Linked DNA regions of Xenopus tropicalis. The main gene of each other region encodes a partner of the protein of the gene in region 4 in a complex. Links are inferred from orthologs where the notes say so. Each region holds a gene or a part of one and is shown on either strand. Other genes may lie near its edges. The genes, in order: pigs, pigu, gpaa1 and pigt.

What was found.
Region 1: the proteins of pigt (region 4) and pigs are in contact, whole or in part, in a cryo-EM structure (PDB 8IMY), measured with the Homo sapiens proteins. The link is inferred for Xenopus tropicalis from reciprocal best matches to the Homo sapiens genes PIGT and PIGS. Residues at the interface, in NP_057021.2 of Homo sapiens: Pro26, Arg27, Val63, Ser64, His65, Tyr66, Arg67, Lys71, Gln75, Lys79, Tyr80, Val133, Gly136, Lys191, Leu193, Pro194, Cys195, Ser196, Lys198, Ala199, Glu270, Pro271, Pro273, Leu274, Tyr526, Ile529, Cys530, Cys533, Val536, Ala537; in NP_149975.1 of Homo sapiens: Thr9, Glu12, Val13, Gly16, Ala19, Ala20, Phe23, Thr230, Pro238, Lys239, Tyr244, Ile247, Glu248, Val251, Gln256, Val270, Asp271, Ser272, Gln273, Ile274, Tyr276, Tyr277, Met279, Ser309, Arg310, Ser313, Ser314, Ala315, Ala316, Phe513.
Region 2: the proteins of pigt (region 4) and pigu are in contact, whole or in part, in a cryo-EM structure (PDB 8IMX), measured with the Homo sapiens proteins. The link is inferred for Xenopus tropicalis from reciprocal best matches to the Homo sapiens genes PIGT and PIGU. Residues at the interface, in NP_057021.2 of Homo sapiens: Tyr361, Gly362, Leu363, Gln364, Lys365, Arg394, Leu395, Tyr396, Val397, His398, Tyr416, Pro418, Ala419, Gln420, Asp421, Arg422, Gln445, Glu447, Leu450, Leu451, Lys452, Trp453, Thr454, Pro518, Thr519, Pro520, Asp521, Phe522, Ser523, Met524; in NP_536724.1 of Homo sapiens: Glu30, Lys42, Arg43, Val45, Glu46, Ser49, Leu50, Leu53, Val55, Ser59, Gly60, Ala61, Val62, Pro265, Asp266, Leu267, Pro269, Leu273, Trp275, Tyr276, Phe277, Phe278, Ala279, Glu280, Met281, Phe282, Glu283, Phe289, Phe293, Asn296.
Region 3: the proteins of pigt (region 4) and gpaa1 are in contact, whole or in part, in a cryo-EM structure (PDB 7W72), measured with the Homo sapiens proteins. The link is inferred for Xenopus tropicalis from reciprocal best matches to the Homo sapiens genes PIGT and GPAA1. Residues at the interface, in NP_057021.2 of Homo sapiens: Gln91, Gly92, Phe93, Arg95, Arg97, Tyr98, Ser108, Phe211, His212, Thr213, Ser214, Asp247, Phe249, Ile250, Arg340, Gln355, Tyr357, Val358, Ser359, Gly360, Tyr361, Gly362, Leu363, Leu371, Tyr373, Lys441, Asp459, Pro460, Asn461, His462; in NP_003792.1 of Homo sapiens: Arg97, Ser98, Val99, Gly100, Glu102, Tyr104, Arg134, Ala135, Pro136, Arg137, Ala138, Ala139, Ser140, Thr141, Glu142, Arg171, Gly172, Gln173, Ile174, Tyr199, His200, Asp201, Val202, Leu212, Gln213, Gly214, Arg215, Ala218, Arg311, Tyr312.

What each region holds. Positions count from the first base shown.
Region 1 is NC_030678.2:34,656,259-34,661,097, reverse strand, and holds part of pigs (GPI transamidase component PIG-S), read right to left. Parts: intron 4,759-4,839; coding exon 4,658-4,758; intron 3,445-4,657; coding exon 3,234-3,444; intron 1,911-3,233; coding exon 1,635-1,910; 3' UTR 1-1,634. UniProt on the Homo sapiens protein: Component of the glycosylphosphatidylinositol-anchor (GPI-anchor) transamidase (GPI-T) complex that catalyzes the formation of the linkage between a proprotein and a GPI-anchor and participates in GPI anchored protein biosynthesis.
Region 2 is NC_030686.2:41,147,790-41,153,856, reverse strand, and holds the start of pigu (phosphatidylinositol glycan anchor biosynthesis class U protein precursor), read right to left. Parts: upstream 3,400-6,067; 5' UTR 3,350-3,399; coding exon 3,220-3,349; intron 3,006-3,219; exon of another isoform or gene 2,891-3,005; coding exon of another isoform or gene 2,857-2,890; intron 2,201-2,856; coding exon 2,136-2,200; intron 1,377-2,135; coding exon 1,317-1,376; intron 1-1,316. UniProt on the Homo sapiens protein: Component of the glycosylphosphatidylinositol-anchor (GPI-anchor) transamidase (GPI-T) complex that catalyzes the formation of the linkage between a proprotein and a GPI-anchor and participates in GPI anchored protein biosynthesis.
Region 3 is NC_030682.2:151,229,513-151,234,912, reverse strand, and holds part of gpaa1 (glycosylphosphatidylinositol anchor attachment 1 protein), read right to left. Parts: intron 4,606-5,400; coding exon 4,409-4,605; intron 4,320-4,408; coding exon 4,123-4,319; intron 3,087-4,122; coding exon 2,933-3,086; intron 2,431-2,932; coding exon 2,359-2,430; intron 2,248-2,358; coding exon 2,051-2,247; intron 862-2,050; coding exon 691-861; intron 14-690; coding exon 1-13. UniProt on the Homo sapiens protein: Component of the glycosylphosphatidylinositol-anchor (GPI-anchor) transamidase (GPI-T) complex that catalyzes the formation of the linkage between a proprotein and a GPI-anchor and participates in GPI anchored protein biosynthesis. Binds GPI-anchor.
Region 4 is NC_030686.2:41,856,365-41,862,282, forward strand, and holds the start of pigt (GPI transamidase component PIG-T), read right to left. Parts: upstream 3,973-5,918; 5' UTR 3,893-3,972; coding exon 3,709-3,892; intron 2,601-3,708; coding exon 2,423-2,600; intron 1,732-2,422; coding exon 1,604-1,731; intron 1,417-1,603; coding exon 1,316-1,416; intron 761-1,315; coding exon 674-760; intron 386-673; coding exon 298-385; intron 173-297; coding exon 75-172; intron 1-74. UniProt on the Homo sapiens protein: Component of the glycosylphosphatidylinositol-anchor (GPI-anchor) transamidase (GPI-T) complex that catalyzes the formation of the linkage between a proprotein and a GPI-anchor and participates in GPI anchored protein biosynthesis.

The DNA.
Region 1 (4,839 bases), on a different chromosome or scaffold from region 4:
TTGCCTATTTGCTCTATTAAACCCCACCAACCACAATCAGGTCCTCAGGCTAACACTTGAAATTAACACCTTTGAATTGAATTTGAAACTTAATACAGAGAATTGGGGCTGAACACTCTGGAAGTGCAGCATGTATAGTGCTTGCATATCTCCACAAAGTTCCATGTAGTGCATAAAGTCTCAATATGCTCGGCCTGGTATCGATGTGTGCAAGAATACTGGAAGCTAGCGTCACACATGTGATGCACAGGGTGTTTAACCCATTTATTAACAGCCACAGAAAGTGACAATTATTACGTTTTTGGGGACAACCCTCACTTTGCCAGAACATTGTGGGCTTTCAGGGAAACCTTGAAGAAAAATATGATTATTTAAAGAACAGGACAAAACCTATAAGCACCTTCAAACTGAAATACAAAATTAGCCCTTGGATTTAAAGTATAGTGGCCCAATGAATAGTGACAGTCTATGGCCTCTTACAGCATTTGCCAGACTAGTCCTGTCTATAAGTACTGCCACAGAAAGCTCAATTTAGTCTGAAAATATTTCCATATATAAACAATAGAAGTTTTGCTAACCATGTTTATTTTATGACCCAGCCTGGGCTCTGCCAGTTTAGAAACACAAATTCACTTCTCAGCCTGCCTCTGTGCATTCATAATAGTTCATTTTTCCAGTTACCGGGGTTTACTGGCTTGGTTGTGGTGCTGGCTTTAAAAACCCTTTTTTATTCTGCCCATAGCCAAATATTTACCTGGAAAAAAAATCTGTTTGTGGAATACACTATTTACAAACATTTTAAATATAACAGGAGATATAAAGGTTAAGGGTAATGTCTCACAGAGAGATTAGTCGCCCAAAATGCCTTTCCACCAGCAACAAAGGGAATCGCTGGTGGAAAGGCCTACACATTGCTTTGGTTTTCCAAAGTCGCACAAAGGGGGAAATTTTCATGACTTCGCCCGCGGTAGCAGAGATCTATCGCGGGTGACTAATCACACCATGGGACATTACTCTAAGGGTAACTAAGGCAGGCTCAGCTATGATTTCCAGAACAAGACTTTACCCAAAGGCAAACTTATTGTACAAGTTGAACAAGTAGTTCAAGTAGACATATAATAAATAAATGCACAAATATACACATATATCGTAAATGCAGTAAGAGGCCTTGGTTCCCTGAGATTATGTTGTTTGTTTTTAAGCCTCTCTGTGGGATTAAGTAGAAATAAGTGACTCGGGTCTGGACTGGGAGTCAAAATAGGCCCTGGCATTTCCAGTACACCCATCTTAAATGCATCTTAAAGCAGCCCCTCTGGCATTTGTCAGAATCCACAGATTTCCAGTCTGGACCTGGAGTGACCAGTTTAGGTGGTGGTACAGGTGAACTGCATGCAGGATAAATTAACATGCAATGGCATTAATATTCTCACAAGCAGCGACGTGTTGCAGGGAAAAAAAAACAAAATCTACTTTTGTATCAGAAGAATCCCCTCAAGAGTGTCTACTGCTTTAAGAAGAGCTGCAGTACAACTTCCACAATGTTGTAAAACAGCCAGACATTACTGAAACTAAAAAATTAACACAGGCAATAGTGTTCTCTTCCTAGAAGTCATAGGGTAGTAATGGTAAAATCTTCATTCAGTTTTTAAGGGCTCCTTTTTGCTTTGCTTGTATTCCTTGGCAATCTTTATGAGAGACAAAAAAATGGGAACAGCCATGGGCAAGAATAAAGGAATGTAAATGGCAAATTTTTGATCATCTGGAAAGTACAAGAGATGAAGGAGAGAGGGGTCAAAAAATGCCTTCTCAGAAGAGCTGATTGCCTCCTTGCTTGCTTGAAATGCCGACTCTAGCCGACCTGCTTCTAGCTCAGACAAGGCAGTCTGAACCGAGGACACTGCGTGATACACCTGGGCAAGAGAACAAAGGGGATTAATGTACACATACAGCAGGGTACAATGACATACCCTGTATCTCACATAAAGGTGTGAAATATCTGCAAGGTCACAGGTATCTGTGTTTTGTAAAGTAAAATACTATATGGTAGTAAGTCTACACCTAAGTCTAAAGTAAAGAAAGCTTACTATTACAAGGGAACATGTGACATTTTGTATTGACCTTTTTTCATGAAAAAACTATAAATCTGTAAACTTTCAGTACATCACAAAAAAAATAAAAAATTCCACTTTGCCTTTATGGTTAGCTCTAAAATGAAAAAAAAAAACAAACAAACTATCAAGTACTCAGTGTGGGAACTCAAATACAATCTATGGCTTCTATAGACAGTATGAGTGTGCACACCCATCCTGGAAGCTGTGTTGCATGTAGCAGCAATGGCTGCAGAGCGGTGGCAAGCTGCTAAGGAGACCACCTTTATTGTACACTAAATGACCAAAAGTACGTGGACACCTGTCTGTTCAACATCTTCAAAACCAGAAGGTATCAGTACGAAGTTGTGGTAACACGAAGTTTCTGTACTATACTAGAAAGCTTTCCACTAGAAGTTGCAACATAATTGGTCAAATTGGCCCCCATTCATTCATAAAAAATTAGGCACTAACATAGAGATCAGGCCAGACTCACACTGGCGTTCCAATTCATCCCACAAGTGTCCAGCTGAGTTGAAATCAGACCTTTAAGCAGGTCAGTCAAAGTGTTCTACTCTCATGGATCCAAACCCATTCTGTATGTACCTTACTTTGTGCCTGGGGTTATTACCCTTTTGAAACTAGAAAGGACCGTCCACAAACTGTTGCGGCACAGTAGAAAGCAGAGAATTATAAAGAATCTAATTGTATTATAAAGAGGCATCTGTGTCACCATTCATGATAGGTGTAGCCTTACTAGCCAATTCCAATAATTCATAGTGTTGGTGTAGCACTATACAGTAAGTATATGAAAATGTTAGGGTTAAATTATACAAATAAACAATGTGTTTGTGGCAGAACACCTACTCCAGTTTACCTGTGCTCATACTATTTATTTAGCCCTTTTTTACACCATGCTAAACAAGATATATTTGTATAGTATGAGTAACAGGAAAGCAGCATAAACAATACCATTCTTGTAGGCTTTATCATATTCAGAAGGCTCTGAGCTTGTGGCAGCTGCTAGTGAATTAGGCTGGATTTACTTGGCTGCTAATTCTCTGCAAATATGAGGATTGTGTCCAGGGCTGGCAGTCTGTGCACATTTCACTTACACAAAGCTCTCAAGCATATTACTGCACTTACCTCAGAAGCAACAATATCATTTATTACTATGTTGCCAATCTGATCGAGCAGCTGAGCCAAAGAGGTTAATGTGGTAGTTACTGTAGCAATATTTTCTACCACTCTAGACCAAAGGAGACTGTCTAATTCCCAGTCAGTCAGACCCTCGTTTCCTGGGCTTTCAAGCTGGTAGTCCTCTGGCACAGCGGCCTTTGTAATACCTAATAGTAATCTGGTGGAATACAAAGACATACAAAAAGATTAGTTTGGATTAGAACATGGTGTTAATCAAATATCCTGTATTAATGGAGACATATACCCTAAGAATTACAATGTAGAATTAAAAAATGATGGTACTGGTAATTTTTAAACTGCTAATATCATGTATATGAAACTTGAGCTCCCATGGAATGGCAAAAGCCGAAGTAGGAAGCTTCTCCTGATGCTTCACTGCTCATTTCTCTCTATGGTGTCTCAAAAAAACAATAGAAATGAGCAGGGAAGCATCAAGAGAAACTCTTGTGTGTAATAAGGACCTTACACTGTAAGATCCGCTTGGGCAGGGACTTATGTGAACGATGTATGGATTGGCAATCCTTGGATTCTGGAAAATGCCAGAGCTGCTGCTGTAAATGTCGTAGACTGTGACTATTGGCCCTGTGCAGCCAGGCCCGGATTTGTGGTGAGGCCACAAAGGCCCGGGCCTAGGGCAACACAAATTTAGGGGGGCATGCAGCCTGCCGCAACTACATTTTTAAATTTGGCTCCCACACGGAGCAATGGGGACCTCTCCCCACTGCTCCTAATGGGACCTTAAACGTTTGCGCATGCGCACTTACGCTCGCAGCCTGAGGGAGGGGAGGTGGGGGACGCTCGTTCGCGCATGCGTACACAGGGGGGGGAGGGGCGACCAATGGGGGCGGCCACAAGACAGATCCGGCGCTGCGTGCAGCTGTTGGGGGTCTGTGTAATGCCAGGGCCTATTTTGAATCCCAGTCCAGAGCTGGCCCTATGTCATATGTAAGCACTATATAAAATTAGGGATGCACCAAACCCACTTTGCTAATTAGGATTCGGTTCAACCGGGACCGTGGATTTGGCCGAAACTGAATCCTTCAAAAAAAAAAAACCCTGGTTTCGGCCCGAATCCCGAACCGAATCCGGGATTCGGTGCATACCTAATATAAATAATAAAAAATAATAATTGTGGTGGGAGGGATTTGTAGGCTTAAGTTGCCCTTTAGCTGTAGAAAAGGAATGTACAAATTCAGGTCCAACCTTAGAGGTGGTATGATTATAAAAAATATCTTTGTCTCATCATCTGAAAGGCAAAAAGCAGCACTGGTTACAATTATCAGACACAATGTCTTCTGGTTAGAATAGGGTAAATAATAATTAGCACTAGCATCATCAATCTTAGCAACTTACAAATGCCTATTTCTTACCGCAGTTGTGTCAGGAAAACCTCCATCACTCGCACCATGTCAATATCAATGTGTACCGGGAACTGCAGCTCTCCAAGGTTTCCATAATCAACATTATATATCTAGAAACACAGACATAGACAATGGTTATGACCTGGAATTTTTCTTAAAGAGAAGAGTAATTAGTTCTTTGAAATCATGAT
Region 2 (6,067 bases), about 710 kb from region 4:
ACGCTTGAAAAATCCGTGGTAAGGTGTTTTCTAGCGTATTTACACATTGTGTGGTTTGCTTCGAGTCTTTTCTATGGAAGATGATATTGTGCGTTTTTCAGCCGGCGAGAAAATTAGAAAATACGCAGCGTAAAAACGCCGCACAAGCCACACAGCCCCTGACTATGGCGTTTTTCAGCCTAGTACTGGTGACATAGCAAATCCCGTTTCCATGGTGCTAATGGTGCAAAATAGTAAAAAAATGCTGTGTATTTCAGCTAGGTCTGGCATCTACCTTTGTGTATACATAGGAATAGCTTGCTGTGCAAATACTGGCGTATTTCAGCCAACGCTTGAAAAATCCGTGCCAAGGCTGATGCCACACGTGGCGTTTTTCCGCTGCGTTTTTTCTCAGCCTAAAAACGCCGCACAACCTATACAGCCCCTGACTATGGCGTTTTTCAGCCTAGTACTGGTGACGTAAGCAAATCCCGTTTCCATGGTGCTAATAGTGCGAAATAGGAAAAAACGCAGCGTATTTCCGCTAGGTCTGGCATCTGCCTTTGTGTATACATAGGAATAGGTTGCTTTGCAAATACTGGCATATTTCGGCCAACGCTTGAAAAATCCATGCTAAGGCGTTTTCTAGCGTATTTCCGCATTGTGTGGTTTGCTTCGCGTCTTTTCAAGTTATTTCTATGGATGATGATATCAGGCGTTTTTCAGCCACTGAGAGAATTAGAAAATACGCAGCGGAAAAACGCCACATGTGGCATCAGCCTTAATAGGACAAACCTCCTTCACAATGCTGAGTAATGATGTTCTTATCATGTGCACCTGATGTGATACACCTGTGGGTGATTTTAGCCATTTAAAGCGGGACTAAATGTGGGGGTGTCCTGATTTATTCCTCACCAGAAATTGCATTTTTGTAGAATTACATTTTACAGAAGATTTTGAAAAGTCTTTTCTTCAGTTTTAATTGGTTAGTTATATTACTTGAATCTCCCAGTATTGTTAAAATGTAGATGAAATATCCATATCTCCAAGAATACAAAAATCATAGGGTGTCCTAATTTTTTTACATGACTGTACTTAGTAGCAACTACTTGTCATGGCTACTAATCCCCAGAAAATAAATGGGAAAGAAAAACTGTCAAGGTTGGGGGTTGTTTCTCTGGAGAAAAGGTGCTTGTGAAAGAACACGTTTGGGACAGCAGAGCCACCTGGAGCTCTGTCAGCTGTTCTGTTCTTTCACCATCCTTGCCTCCCATAAAGCAGACTTTGCCTGTGCCCCCCTAAATTAAATAGAGACAAAGGTACGGTTATACACTTACCATGAATACTATCTCTGCATAGTCTACAAGGAAATGGAAGAGATATAAAATGAGCGGCGTCTGTTGAAAAAAAACAAATGTCAAAATTAAATTTTTGAATCTAACTCTGTATTATTCTAAATACGCATGTGACCTACACTTCCTATGAAACCGTAGCATTGTTTTGGACACTTACTACTCAATATATTTAATTGCAGGTACAAACATACACCCACACAAACCAAAATTAAGCAGTGGGCGGCGCTCAGCCCACAAACAAGAGTCAGAAACATACAAACTAAGCTAGATAACACTTATCTACTAGAGTTCTTTCATGTAATGCAACTGTGGATTGCATTTAACTAGAGCTTCAAAATATGAAAGCTTTAAAAAGTAAAGCTGGCCATACACGAGCAGATCCGCTCGCTTGGCAATGTCGCCAAGCGAGCGGATCTTCCCCCGATATCCCCACCTACGGGTGGGCGATATCGGGGAGCATTTAGGTAAAAAAAATAATCCGATCGTTTGGCCCTGGGGCCAAACGATCAGATTATGTGGGCGGCAATGGGGCAGTCGGATCGGGGACCGCATCAACGAGCCGATGCGGTCCCCGATCCGACCGGATTTTCTAACCTGGCCGATCGAGATCTGGCCAATCTCAGGCCAGATCTCGGTCGGCCAGGCCGCTCTGCTCTCCCCAGACACGTGCCGATTAGCTGCCGAATCGGTCCAAGGGACCGATATCGGCAGCTATAGTCGGCCCGTGTATGGGGACCTTAATATACCGTGCATAGTGTAAGCATGTATTTATGGGTATCTCATGATCAATGAGATTCTTACCTCATGAAACAAATCTCCTGAGTAAGGGGACACGCCAAGGTCCAACAAGGCCATCCCTTCCACCACTGCAAGAGATAATGAGAGTTACACTAGTTTGTTATATTGCTTATACAGGAGGAAATGTATATAACAAGGGTAATGTCTCTTATTAAATGGGAAAACAGGCCAGTCTGTGATTGCAGTCCAGGTTGAGGTTTAACTTTACTCAGGGCCACCTACCTAACATATTTTAGATGTTAATTACCAGTTTAGTGACAAAAAAAGGCTGAGGGCTACAGGTTGTGTCATACACGTAGGAAGTCTCGGGGTCCCAATCCTCCCAGTCTCAGGGTCCCAATCCTCCCAGTCTCAGGGTCCCAATCCTCCCAGTCTCGGGGTCCCAATCCTCCCAGTCTCGGGGTCCCAATCCTCCCAGTCTCGGGGTCCCACCCTCCCAGTCTCGGGGTCCCAATCCTCCCAGTCTCGGGGTCCCAATCCTCCCAGTCTCGGGGTCCCAATCCTCCCAGTCTCGGGGTCCCAATCCTCCCAGTCTCGGGGTCCCAATCCTCCCAGTCTCGGGGTCCCAATCCTCCCAGTCTCGGGGTCCCAATCCTCCCAGTCTCGGGGTCCCAATCCTCCCAGTCTCGGGGTCCCAATCCTCCCAGTCTCGGCGTCCCAATCCTCCCAGTCTCGGGGTCCCACCCTCCCAGTCTCGGGGTCCCACCAAGGAAATGAGACCCACCTGACACATGAGAAGATGCCCCACTGCTTGACATGCTGCAGTCACAGTGTTGGCCTACACTCACAGCAGGGACAGCAGAACGAGTGGGGCTCCAAGTCAGCACAATTCCCTATCTCATACCTTTACTCTACTAACCATTTGCTACCCCACTCCCCTCCAAAATGCAAAGGCTTCACGCCATCCCTCACCTTTTAACCAGAGCAACCAACATTGTTGTTTATATGGTAGGGTGGGGCATCCACATGCTTAGCCCCAGGTTTGTACATCCTGTCAAGCTGTCACAGAAAGCCCTTCCCCGTCTCACCCCAGCCTCCCCCTAGCCTCCATCCCAGCACCTGCCCAGCCAGCCTTGCCCTCCCTCACCTCTCTTCCATGAGTTCAACGGGGACACCACTTCCACCCGCTCCGAGATAAACTCAGCCAGACTGGAGCGAAAGAGAATAGCCCTCACAGTCACGGCCACCAGCACTACTAACACCAAAGGAGCCGCCATCTTCACAGAGCTGGATCGCCCAGCCAAAGCGGGGGCTCACGGGACTTGCAGTTCTCAGGCACTCCCACAGCACGAACAGCAGCAGCTTGCAAAACTACGAGTCCCAGAATGCAGCGCGAAAACGGAAGAGTCTATTCCGTGAGCTACAGCTGATACGCTCGGTGATAGGAGAATTGTTTTATAGCCCAGGCAACAAAGTTGGGGCTGCTGGGGAGATAGAGGTCACTCAAGGGGACACTGGAACTGGTTCTTATAACATAATGATACGGGTACTAACTTTTAAAAAGTACCTCTGGAAAGAGCAGCAGTATTTTGTCACTTAACCAGGTGATATGAAAACAGTATAAAGACTAACCAAGTGCCTAATGAATGGCAGCCAATGAGCTGTTTGCTTTCCAACAGGTGACCATATATGCTACCTGTGGATTGGTTGCTATGTCTTTAGACAAACACAAACTTTGCAACTTAAATGTGTATAGTCCTCCCTGTATATAGTGTTTTTATATTAAATATGATAGTACAAATATTAATACTGATCCAAATGATAATATATTTAGGGAGTGTAAGGAGTTGGTTGTGGATATGGCCCATTGGTCCAAAGGTACTTATAGTGCTCTGTTAGTTTAGGAGAAGGATGGACGATGTTTAAGAATATAGGACGGGATGCTTCCATAAAGAAGAAGCTTGTGCCTTATGCTATGGAGACATTAGTAGAAGAGGAATGGGGCTTAGTGAAAGAAAGCAGTTAGTTGTGACACAGGAAAGCTGTAGACATGGCGTTCCAGGAGTGTGAGGCAGACAGGGAAGCTAGGGTGAGCAGTTTAAGCACAATACTGATCTAGAACTAAGATAATGGCTGAAATTGTAGCCATAAAAATAACAAATCTGGGGATGTTCTAAACAAATAGCTGGAAGACACCAATCGTACAAAAGTGACTTCCTGGAAATGCATTGTGGGCCCCCCAAGGGTATCGGCAGTTATCCGACCAAAATTTTGGTCACAGTCCAAAAATCATACAAACCATATATCAATGCGTGTATGGCCAGCTTAATAGTTTACTTGAAGTTCCATATACCTGACTGTTTTGCTAACCTGACTGTCCTTTCAACCTTTCTTATGCACAAATATGGCAGCCCCCTCACAGAGAAATATGGGGGTCAGATACATAATGTAAAAGCATTGGGCAAATACTTTTAGAACAATATTATAAATATCATGCTAAGGCAATGTTATGATAGCTGTAAAAAAAAAAAGTTTGATTTCTGGTGTCAGTATCTAAGGGACAAAATGCACTGGTCCAGGAAAAAAAAAACTTACATAGCACCACCATATTACTTTACTTTCCATGGCGTTCCTCTACAGATTTGTTCATATACATTACAGTAAAGATCTATGTATTATTCTAAAGGTCCCCATACATGGGCCGATAGTAGCTGCCGATATCGGTCCCTTAGACTGATTGGGCAGCAAATCGGCCCGTGTAGGGGCACTACTGACTATCTGGCCTGAAATCGGGCAGGTTAAAATATCTAGTCGGATCGGGGACCGCATCAGCTCATTGATACGATCCCTGGACCGACTTTTTCTATACCCGTCCTATACCCGTCGTTAGTCTGGATTCTCCCGATATCGCCCACCCCGTAGTCGGCCCTTAAGTCTGTGTTAGGGATACCAGGAAAAGGCTCTACGTTTTCCCCACAGCTGGTACATTTTTTCCTAAAAGGAGCAGTGGCCCCGGCAAAACCTTAATACAGTTTATATCGTATGCAAGGACAGCACATTCTTACTTCTGTAATATATATAGGTAAGTTATATTGGTTTAATGTTTAATTACTGAAGGATGTATAAATATAATGCTGTTATTGGGGGTATTGCAGTTGCTTTAGCCACCATGCACCAAGGTGGACCCCATGATTAATTTGGTAACAGTCTATTATATGTCTTTAATTCCCCCTGGCCATATTATAACTCATACCTTGTAAGCAGTTGCTTTCAGAATTATATATGCCGACCTCACTAAATGTCCAGAGCAGCTCACTAGTGAGATGGATAATTTACCACCCACAATGCTTACATTTAGCCTTTGTGGAGAGATGGAGAATCCATGGACATAGGAGTCCTAAAACCACAGGAGCTGATGTGAGCTCAGATTCACTGAGAAGGTTGGGAGGGCAAGGAGCCTATATCTAGTTGCACAGGGTTATGTAATAAAAGGCACTAAGTTTGCCCAAGAGCAGTAACCCATAGCAACCAATCAGCAGGTAGAATTTTCTGTTCAGCTGTTTAAAAGCAATCATCAGATTGGTTGCCATGGGTTACTCTCCTGGGCAAACTTAGTACCTTATTACATATAGGGGTAAATACATGAACAGCCTCTTTGAAATCCTTAAATACCTTCCACTCCACCATTTGGGATTCCTTCTCCTCCTCTAAATTACATACATAAATACATACAAATAACTTGACCCCCTCCCTTAGGAATTTGCATTGGGTGTTGGCTACTGAGCATGCTCAGTTCTTCTCAACAGACCCTCCAGTTTAGCAGTCAGTGAAGAGATGGCACTGCTGGTTTCCATAGAAGCTCTATTCTATCTGTACACTATGCTGGAGAAATAGGCAGTACAAATGATATGGGGTGGGTGGGGGAGATGTGCCCAACTTATATACATGGTAGAAAAATGTAGGATTTTCATATCTTACATGACTCAAAGGCTGGA
Region 3 (5,400 bases), on a different chromosome or scaffold from region 4:
CGCATACAGGGCCCTAGGGAGAGAAGAAAGGGTTAACACCATGCAGTGTGGGTGGGTCATAGCCAAGACCTGTTTATTCTTAGTGAGTTTCCATACAAACACTGAAACTACTGAAATAATATTGTGTAGAACCAAGAACCTTCCTCTATGGAACATAATCTCATTACATTGGGGCCCCCCAGTCGGATATTAGGGACACACCGACTCCCCGATTTGGCCACGATTTGCCCTTTTTGGCAGGATTTGGATTTGGCTCAATCATAAAAGGGTTTGCTCAGCTTTGCGTTTACTTTTAGTAGGATGTAGACACTGCTATTCTGAGACAGTTTGCAATTGGTCTCCATTTTGTATTATTGTTTTTGAGTTATTCTTCTTATTTAGCAGCTTTCCAGTTTTGGCCCAAATTACCCTAGCAACCATGCGGTGATTTAAATGAAAGGCTGGAATGCACATAGGGGAGGGGCTGAATAGAAAGATAAGGAATAAAAAGTAACAATAACAATAAAACTGGAGCCTCACAGAAAATAATACAATAACCATAAAAAATAAATAATGAAGACCAATTGCAAAGTTGCTAGAAATAGAACAATAATTATTAATTGCCGGGCGGGACTGTGACAGATCAGAGACCACACAAGACCAACAGCGGCACCGTTACACAGTGGATCGGAGCAGAGGATTTCTACTCACCTTGGCCCAGTAGGTTGCACAATGGCCGCCACAGGGACGATAGTGACCGCCAGCAGGAATCCCAGGGAGAAGTTAATGAGGGAGATGCAGCCCAGAAGGACAGCGAGGTACAGTAAGGAGATCAGCTTGAGAGTCATCCAGCCCTGGTCCGACCCGGCGCCGCTCAGAACTCTGTAACGGCAAAGCATCAAATGGCTACTGCACTGCTTATACCCCTAGCAGCCTGAGGGGCAACACCTTACGGGGTAACAACGAAGCACAAGGGGGCAGCCTGAGGGGCAACACCTTACGGGGTAACAACGAAGCACAAGGGGGCAGCCTGAGGGGCAACACCTTACGGGGTAATAATGAAGCACAAGGGGGCAGCCTGAGGGGCAACACCTTACGGGGTAATAATGAAGCACAAGGGGGCAGCCTGAGGGGCAACACCTTACGGGGTAATAATGAAGCACAAGGGGGCAGCCTGAGGGGCAACACCGAAGCACAAGGGGCATCAGAACCTCGTGTTTGGGCTCTACATCCCTGAATGGGGGGGGATTTATCGTTAACTTGCTTTGTTGGAAGGTTTAAGCTTCCTATGGAAGCTCAGAATAGTAGAGGAATAGAATAGTCACTGACAGCCTGTCCTTGGCACATGTTCAAAGGGAAGTTAATCCCCTCATTGGTTTCTATTTCACCCAGTTTCAAGGGGAAATTAATCCCCTCATTGCTTTCTATTTCACCCAGTTTCAAGGGGAAATTAATCCCCTCATTGCTTTCTATTTCACCCAGTTTCAAGGGGAAGTTAACCCCCTCACTGTTTTCCATTTCACCCAGGTTCAAGGGGAAGTTAATCCCCTCATTGCTTTCTATTTCACCCAGTTTCAAGGGGAAATTAACCCCCTCATTGCTTTCTATTTCACCCAGTTTCAAGGGGAAATGAATCCCCCCATTGCTTTCTATTTCACCCAGTTTCAAGGGGAAATGAATCCCCCCATTGCTTTCTATTTCACCCAGTTTCAAGGGGAAATGAATCCCCCCATGGAAATTAACGTTCCGCTTAAACTTGAATTTTGAGTTTTAACAATTCAGGCATTATCGTGCCATTTTATAATTACAGCAGCGATCGAGTTTAATTCGAATGTATACATGTTGAGTTTATACGACTTTCAAGGCCAAAAGGCAACGAATTTTATTAAGTCAGGCCTATAGTGTTGGTGCTAGCCTCTGTGGCTACTAGCAGCTAAGGCTAACGTGCCCAGGTCACTACATGTGTGCATTAGTGGTCAGTAGCTGTGCCAATCATGGGTGCTGCCAGCCCGCTGCCACTGCCTACCTGCCCACAAGGGCCCCTCAAGCTGGCGCAGCTGTGGCTCAGTACCTGTGTGTGTTGTGGGGCAGTGCAAGTCCTGCCACGTAGATGGCGATAGCGGTGAGAACAACGGCCTCGGATTCAGAGACAGGGAAGTGGTCAGTGGCCATCTCCTGGCTCATTACTGGCAGGTAGTACAGACTCAGGCCGGTAGCGTGGCAGATCACAATGGGGGTCGCGAGGGACAGGATTCCGGGTCTTGGATCCTACAGGAAGAAACAGATAGATGTATATATATATTACTGTGCTGGGGGGTCAAAGTGGTTGTTTCTCGTAGCCCTTTTGCCTCCTCTGATCCCTTACAGACCCAACGGTACCTGCTCTGTATCCATGACTCCGTCCTCAGCCGTCCCATCCGAGCGCCTCAGCTTAATCCACAGGTCCAGGGAGTAATTACATCGTTAAGGAGAAAGCAGGGAGCAAATAATTCAAAAACAATATAAAATAAATAAGGAAGACCAATTGCAAAGCTGCTTAGAATTGGTCATTCTGCAACAGGGGTGGGCAGACTTGGAAATGCGGAAGTGCGGCGTGAATGCGTATGTACGTGACTTCCGCATCCCCGGCTTCATCGAGGCCCACCAGAAATCCACGGGTGGACCGTGATCGACGTATTGGCCACCCCTATTCTACTACATACCCAAAAGATGAACTGCCCCTTTAAAGTTTACTTTTGTTCAGCTTTAATAGAAAACCTTCCACTTTCTGCTGGCTGTGTAGGAGAACTTACAGTCCCTCCCACTGTAGGAAGGCAGCCAATCAGCAGCTAGGCAGACCGAAGAGGAAACCGCAGTTTATCTTTCTGTATGTAGGTAGCACTATGACTGGCTACCCATATCCAACTGTGCTCCAGGGGGACAGTACAGCCCCCGGGGTTTGGGGAAAGGATATCCTGAGGATCAAAATGAGGATGAAGAAGCCGATGGCCGGCATGTAAATCCCGATGGAGACAAAGCGGGACAGGCACGGCAGCAGGTAGAAGAAGTACGACTGGTGCAGGCGCTCCGAGAGGTTGTTCAGCTTCCGGAACATTCCTTCCAGGGTCCTATAGAAGAGAAAAAATGATGGTGTCAGCAAGTTAAACAGCACATTTAAGTAATGAACAGGGGACGCAAACCTAAAACATAAAAAGCTGGGGAGCAACACAAGAATAAAAAAAGGTACCTGGGGCTGCCAAATAAGGGCTGTGATTGGTTATTTGAAGCCCCTATTTGGACTGGCAGCCTACAGGAGGCTCTGTTTGGTCTTAATGCCTCCAAAAATTCAAAAATAAGTACCACCAGTTGGCGACCATTGCACTAGCATATTGCGAGGGAGTCAGAATTCTAAACAGTCACCAAAGATGCCCAAGTTGGGGCTGGAAGTTTCCACATCACTATGGAGACGTTTCCAGAAATGTATCCACAGGATTTACACATGATATGATGTATGTATGTAAGTATGTATGTATGCAAGTATGTATGTATGCAAGTATGTATGTATGCAAGTATGTATGTATGTATGTATGTGTGTATGTATGTATGTATGTAAGTATGTATGTATGCAAGTATGTATGTTATGTAAGTATGTATGTATGTATGTATGTGTGTATAAGCCAGGGCTGGAACTAGGGGTTGGCAGAAGAGGCAGCTGCCTAGGGCGCAACGATTAGGGGGCGCCAGGCAGGAGCCTCTCCTGCCTACCCATAGTCCTCCTTCTTTGTCATTGCCCTGCCGCTTGTCATTAGCGGTGGGGGCAATGACCCATAGAATTGCACACACCCCCCACGAACTGTGTATGCGCACCAAAGCACCATAAGAACACGCTGCTCTATGACAATGAAGGAGGACTAGGGGTAGGCAGGAGAGGCTCCTGCCTGGCACCCCCTAATCGTTACGGGGGGGGCATGGTTGCCTAGAGTGCCCGCCCCTGGTTTAAGCCACTAAAAGTCACCTGGGTTGTGAGGAGATACTGAGAACAACTAGATTGTGAGGTGTACGAAGCTTGAAAACTGTGGTACACCCCCCATTCTAGTCATTCTCAGTAACTCCTCAAACCGCCAGTGAGGATCAAGGTGACAGTGGGGGAAGATGGCCACTTACTTTCCCACTGTGTTCATGTCATATTTGTACTGGCGGAAGCTGTTGATGCCCCGCAGGGTGATGGCTTCGATGTGGTAGCGCAGGAAGAGGCCGTGGTCCCCTTGGGGTCTCCCAGAGCCCTGTTTCAGCATCATGATCAGCATTGTCTGGAGGCTGTGCAGGTACCCGGGGAAGGTGTCGAAGTCAGTTCTCTGAAGCTGAATGTAATAGAGAGAGATCAGGGCTGAGCCAGGCAATACAGGAGCACAAGGAAGTGCAACAGGAAAGGCAATGGGAGCGGCCTGACCTTGCCCTGAATGGTGCAGAGCAGCGTGTTCTTCTGGCAGAAGGCGTAGAACAGGTTGACCAAGTCAAGGTTGGGTAGTTGCCCATTTAAACCTTCCACCACCAAATCGAAGCTGGTGATCACGTCGCTGCTCATCTCCAGGGAAACGGCGGCCTGAATGGCTCCGGCCCGACCCAACATCACCGACGACTTTATCTCTGCAAGGACATGAGTGTGAGGGAGATCGGCAAGGCATGTAATACTCTAATAATTATCTACTCTATTAATGAGGTAGGAGCTGGGCTGCGTCAGAGCATTAATCAAGCACCTTCCACCTACAGGAAGGCAGCGCAGGCCAAACCGCTATGTGCGAGTACCAATAACTGGTTAACTCCATTATTGAAGAGACCTGCGCAATTGGTCTACATTTGTTGTTATTTGTGTTTTTTGAATTATTGACTTTGTGTTCAGCGGCTCTCCAGTTTGGAATTTCAGCAGCTATCTGGTTGCTAGGGTCCAATTTAACCTAAAAACCAGACCGTGGTATGAAAGAGGCATGGGCAATATGAATAGGGGAGGGGCTGAATAGAAAGATAAGGAATAAAAAGTAACAATAACAATAAAACTGGAGCCTCACAGAGCAATAGGGTTTGGCTGCCGGGGTCAGTAACCCCTATTTGAAAGCTGCAAATGAAGGCAATTAATTAAAAAAACTGGAAAAAAAATAACACCAATTGAAAAGTTGCTAAGAATAGACCATTCTACAACATAGTAAAAGGAAAAGTTTACCTTTAACTCTAGTAATAAGTAGAATAATAAAGGTCCCCATACACCTACGGGTGGGCGATATCGGGGAGTGTGTAGGATATTTCGATCTTTTGGCCCTCGGGCCAAACAATCAAATTATATTGGCGGCAATGGGCCAGTTGGTTCGGACGCCGCATCAATGAGCCGATGTGGTCCCCGATCCGACTGAATTTTCTAATTTCCAATTTCAGGCCAGATATCGGTCG
Region 4 (5,918 bases):
CCCAGGACACAGTACTTTCAGTGCTTTATATGGCCATTGTACCAATGCTATTTAAAAGGCCTTGAAGAGTTTACCTTTCCCCAGCCAGAAACGTCAACATAGATTTTACTTTGTGATGCCAGAGGACACGACTCAGTTACAGTACGGGAAAACATTTTAAATATGGACCAATCTGGAAAACAAAAACGCAATGCATTTTTTATGGAATTTACAAAAGCACTTATAACTTCTGTCTATAGAAGGGAAGAGACACTTCTTATAAACAGTCCAAAATCAGATATGAATGTACTTAGTTACCTCTTTTTCCCTGGCCACTAGAATACATATCGAACACCACAGTAAGGGCCTGCCTTAACTCCCAGGAGACACTTGAACAATCTGCATTCTGAAAGAGAAAATTATGTCAGGAGAGGACCAAACTGACCCATAAATGAGGTCCTATCCCTACAGGCCTGCATAAGGCTGCCCAGGGCCAAACAATGGTATTAGCCCAATTTGCCAAAATTAGCCAAAGATCCCCTTGTTTGGCAACCTTGCCAAATGAGCAGATTTTTTTTACGTCTTTGCCCTAATGCATTATCATTTATAAATTACTGTCTCTGCTTTATAGTTAGCATTCCAAGCCCCATCTTATGCAAAAGGTGAGGGGGGCTGGTTTAAAAAAAGTACTTACCTGGCAAATTGGCCTTATATGCACAGACTGGGAGTGGTAACTGCTGTGATACAAGCGTTCAGCCCTCAGTAGAGATGCCAGGCCGGCCTGTGTAGAGAGGAAGAAACAAAGTTACAAGGGAGCAGAAATAGCAAAGTAGCCACATAAAAACATGCTGGAGTGAGATGGCATATAAAGCCACCGAACACCAGGGGCCATTGGGAGAAGCCACCGAACGCCAGGGGCCATTGGGAGAAGCCACCGAACGCCAGGGGCTATAGCAGGGGTGGGCAAACTACGGCCCGTGGGCCACATCCGGCCCCTTGGCCTTTTTAATCCGGCCCGCCGATGACGCCAAGTCTCATCACGCGAGACTTGGTGTCATTGGCGGGCCGGAATTAAACAGACTAAGGGGGCGTAACGCTGGCCCGGCCCTGCCCGCCCTGGCCGGGTCTGGCCCGGGGGTAAGTAAATGTGGCCCGTGAGCCAAAAAGCTTGCCCACCCCTGGGCTATAGGGAGAAGCCTCTGAACGCCAGGGGCTATAGGGAGAAGCCTACGAACACCAGGTTTTTCAGAAGGCGTTTATTTGGGGTGACAGTGAAAATCATGAAATGTACATAAAGGGAATATTTTCAGCCATGAAGTTACAATAGTTAAAATACCTTGGACCCACAAGGCAGCAGTTTCTTCCATGGAGTTAGATTTTCTGTGCAAACTATCTCTCTGGGAAGCGTGGCATATCTGAGCAGGTGATGATCTGTAACTGTAGGAACAGATAAGATGGATAATATTATAATTATTAATGTGCAATCACCCGTCCCAACATGCATATAGATGATACCTGCATAAGGCACTTGGTCCCTGCAATACACATCCCATTCCACATGTGTTATTCTAATGCTACGCCCACAGAAACCTCTTCAGATGCTCTGTAGCCATCGCACACTTACTGTTGGCCACTCCAAGGGGCTTGAAGGATGCAGTCGGAGTAACTGTGTTAGTAGAGTCGATGAAGTTCAGAGAGGCACAGAAAATACCCGATAAGATGTTACTGAGCTCTTTCCAACTTTTATTAACACTACAATCAAAAACATATACACAATACAATAAATGTATATGAAATCATGAAATTCAGTTATTTGCAAGTCTGTGGGAGGGTATAGCGATGCTCAGCAACAGGCCCAGATTTGTGGAAAGGCCACAAAGGCCTGGGCCTAGGGTGGCACGCCGCCCCGGGGCACCAAAATATTAAAGTTTTTCTCACAAATGGAGCAATGGGGACCTCTCCCCCGCTGCTCCGTATGCGACTGTAAAGACCCGTGCATGCTTGATCGCGAGTTTGCGCATGCGCGGGGGCTGGGGCGATGGACAGAGGGTGGCTTACAAATCTGGCCCTGCTCAGCAAGCAACTATAACGTACATATATGCTATTGCTCAGGGCAGCACCCATACACACATGTATCACCCTTACCTCTGCAGTTAAACAGGAACTCTACCCAAAAACTATTTTTATAGTGAAAGAAAATATAATAATTCTGCTTTCCATAGTGGGTGTTGCACAGAGTCTCTGGAAATCAAAGGGACTTCAAGTCCAAGAATCCATTGCTTCAAAGTGGAACAAGGTAAAGGAGGGGTTTTGCGGCACTGCGAGTATATATATATATATATATATATATATATATATATATGCCAGTTACAGAGAGGAAAAGGAATTGCTGGCCTTTTACATCCCGCATTCAGATTAATGGCAGAGCTGTTTAGGAACTCACTCAGTAACAGAATCCTGAAACCAGACCCAGAGTTCTGCTCCAGTAGGGGCCTGCAGGAGAGGTGGGCCCCATGCCTTTGTACGCCAGAATCCCTGGGTGAATGAAAGGTGCAGCTCCTGAATGGAGTACTTAGAGATGAGCTGGCCCAGCACTTTAGGGAAGATCCTGTAGTGGGAGACTGATGGAGAAAAGATTTAGATGTTACCCAGCATATGAAAAACTGGTGTGTGTACATACATACATACATACATATATATATATATATATACATATATCAGTCCCAAAATCGGCACTCACCAAAATGGCGGATTAGAACCGGGTGCTAACCATAAATTGACATATTCTCCTTCAGAAAGCACTCACGGTATTTGCAAAAAGAGTGAGTATTTATTTACACAAAAATGTCTACGCGTTTTGATCCGTCCTGATGACGATCCTGTATGGATCGAAACGCGTAGACATTTTTGTGTAAATAAATACTCGCTTTTTTTGCAAATACCGTGAGTGCTTTCTGAAGGAGAATATATATATATATATATATATATACAAACCACGAGGGTTCAGCACTCCTTAGCAAATGGCTAATTGACCCAGGTGCTACCGATTCAAGCAATTTCAATAAAGTCCACAGGTATAGCGGTGCACACTGGGAATCTTTTAAAAATTAGCTTTTATTGAAATATATAAAACTTAATACACTCTCTCTAGATATGAAGAACTAGATACAGCAGCGAAGAGATCCGCACTCACAGGACTTATACAATGAATCTGGTGTTTATTGAGAAGACTAACGTTTCGGCTATATCACTAGTCCTGTGAGTGCGGATCTCTTCACTGCTGTGTGTATATATATATATATATATATATATATATATATATATATATATAGGAAATAATAGCTGAAATCATCATAATTAATAGTGGAGAGAGAGAGAGTTCCATACTAGCTGTAGGTACCTATTTATGTTATATAGGGCCTGATTCTAGTCATGGGTCCCCATATGTTCCAAAACTAAAACTCCCAACGATCAGCAAATTGCCAATCAAACCCTGCTGGGGAGTGTATTCAATCAGTATCAGGGGCTACCAATCCCAGAGACAGGGCGTTATCAGTGCCCCCCTCCTCCCATTCGCACTCTGTGTTATTTCCTGTCAGTTCTTGCACTGCAACTCCCATCATCCCTGGCTAGAGGTAACTGGATGCCGAACCCGTAACCCAGTAGTAGGCTGAGGTAAGGCACATCCCCACAATATAACTGCGCTGCGGGCCTCCCCAAGCTCCTCACCCTTCTCCTTCCTCAGGTCGGCATCCAGGCGGGTCCGAAACTGAAAGGTGGCGGCGATGTCCCCGGAGCGCAGCGGTGTGAGGAGCAGCTCCTCTCGGAAGACATCACTCCCAGGCGGCTCGGCACACTGCCCGGCCCAAACGCTGGCCCACAGAGCAGCGGCTACAAGCACAGCGCCGGCCATCTTCCACCCTAGCAACCCTTCCGCTTCCCTTTGGCAATGAAAGGAATTAGCCAATTAGATACGGGTTCAGCAGTCTTAGCCAATCAAACCGACCAAGGGCGTGAATAAACTTTGACAGCCGATCGAGGGACTAATCAGGGCAAGATATGGATTCGTCCAATCGAAAGCGAGAGAGAGGAAACTGGTAATGCGCATGCGTTCCGTAGTTCCGTAGTGCTTGAGTAATTCATTGGTACTGGTGCTTAAATAAATATAATGATGTACAAAATATAATAATGTGCCAAGAGGTGCAATGAACCAAAGAGAAAAGCGAAAGAATAGAATTGGTGAACTGAGTCCGCTTGAAAAGTAATGGACTTGACTAGAGAATGCAGTTAGATGGCCTGGGTTTGTTACAAGCTAGCAAGCCCTCTGTGCAGGAGTTCCACAAGATAAGATAAGGTATATATGCGAGTAGCAGTCCCTGCACAGCTTTTTTAACTATTGAAAAGAAGTTAATGGGAGAAAGAACTATAAAGAGGGAAGGAGAGCAGGGCAAAGTTGCTGAGAGGAAAGAAAATAAAAGCACAGAATGCAGAGAAAAGGGAGATTAAGAACAGAAAACATATAGATAACAGATAATGTGAGTAAAGGTGGCCATACATGTGGCGATCTGACGATGTTTCGTGCAACCATCGGTCGCACGAAACATCGTCAGATCCGCCACACACCATTCAGGGCTGAATCAGCAGGTAAGGAGGTAGAAACGGCAGATAAGGAGGTAGAAACAATAGGATTTCTACCTCCTTCTGCCGATTCAGCGCTGAAGGGAGATTTTGGTCAGGCGCCTTCTATGGCGCCCGATCAAAATTTTCAAACTGGTCTGATCGGCGAGTCGACCGATATCATCAGCTTCCTGCGATATCGGTCGACTCGCCGACATACCATACACGCACCTAATATCGTACGAAACGAGGTTTCGTACGATATTATCGGTGCGTGTATGGCCAGCTTTAGAAACTACAGCAGGAAAACAGAGCAGAGTGCAAAGGAGAAGGGAAGAGTATGGATAAACAGAAGAAGAAATGCATGTAATATATAGAAAGGGAAAAAAAAGCAGAACGGACCAATTGCAGTTTAGCACCTCATTAATAAATGACTCCTCTGGAATAGTGGAGGAAAAGATGAGCATGAAACTATGAAAGAAAAGTAAGCTGCAGCCATTTAATCTTTATTATTTATAGCTGTGGGCCTGTGCCCTGGTTGTGGTGCGGCACTGCTACGCTGGTTGGACTGTACCTTATTCTATAATCCAGGGATTTACTCTTGAGCCACACTCAGATGTAAAAAGTGTTGGTGAGCCACACAAGCATGAAAAAAAGTTCTTTAGGAATGCCAAATAAGGGCTGTGATTGGCTATTTGGTGTGTCTTTGTGCTTCCAAAACTTACCTCCAAGCCTGAAATGTAAAAATGGCGCCTACTTTGAGGCCACTGGGATCAACATCAAAGGGGGTGGTGGTTGCCCCCGAGACACTGGTTGGGGATCACAGGTATAATCTGACAAAGCTCTGCTGACTATCCAGCAGAAGGGAAAGGGGAGCAGTGAGAAGTTTAAATGTGCCACCTTATGCACTACTCCCTCCTTCCATTTATAAAGCAGCACAATTCAGCAGCAACAGCCCCCTAAGTTTGCTCATAGCCTGTACAAAAAGATACCATAAAACTATGGCAGCATAGGGATTCCCCTGTACTAAGCACAATTCAGCAGGAACAGCCCCCTAAGTTTGCTCATAGCCTGTACAGAGAGATACCATAAAATTATGGCAGCATAGGGATTCCCCTGTACTAAGCACAATTCAGCGGAAACAGCCCCCTAAGTTTGCTCATAGTCTGTACAGAGAGATACCATAAAACTATGGCAGCATAGGGATTCCCCTGTACTAAGCACAATTCAGCAGGAACAGCCCCCTAAGTTTGCTCATAGCCTGTACAGAGAGATACCATAAAACTATGGCAGCATAGGGATTCCCCTGTACTAAGCACAAT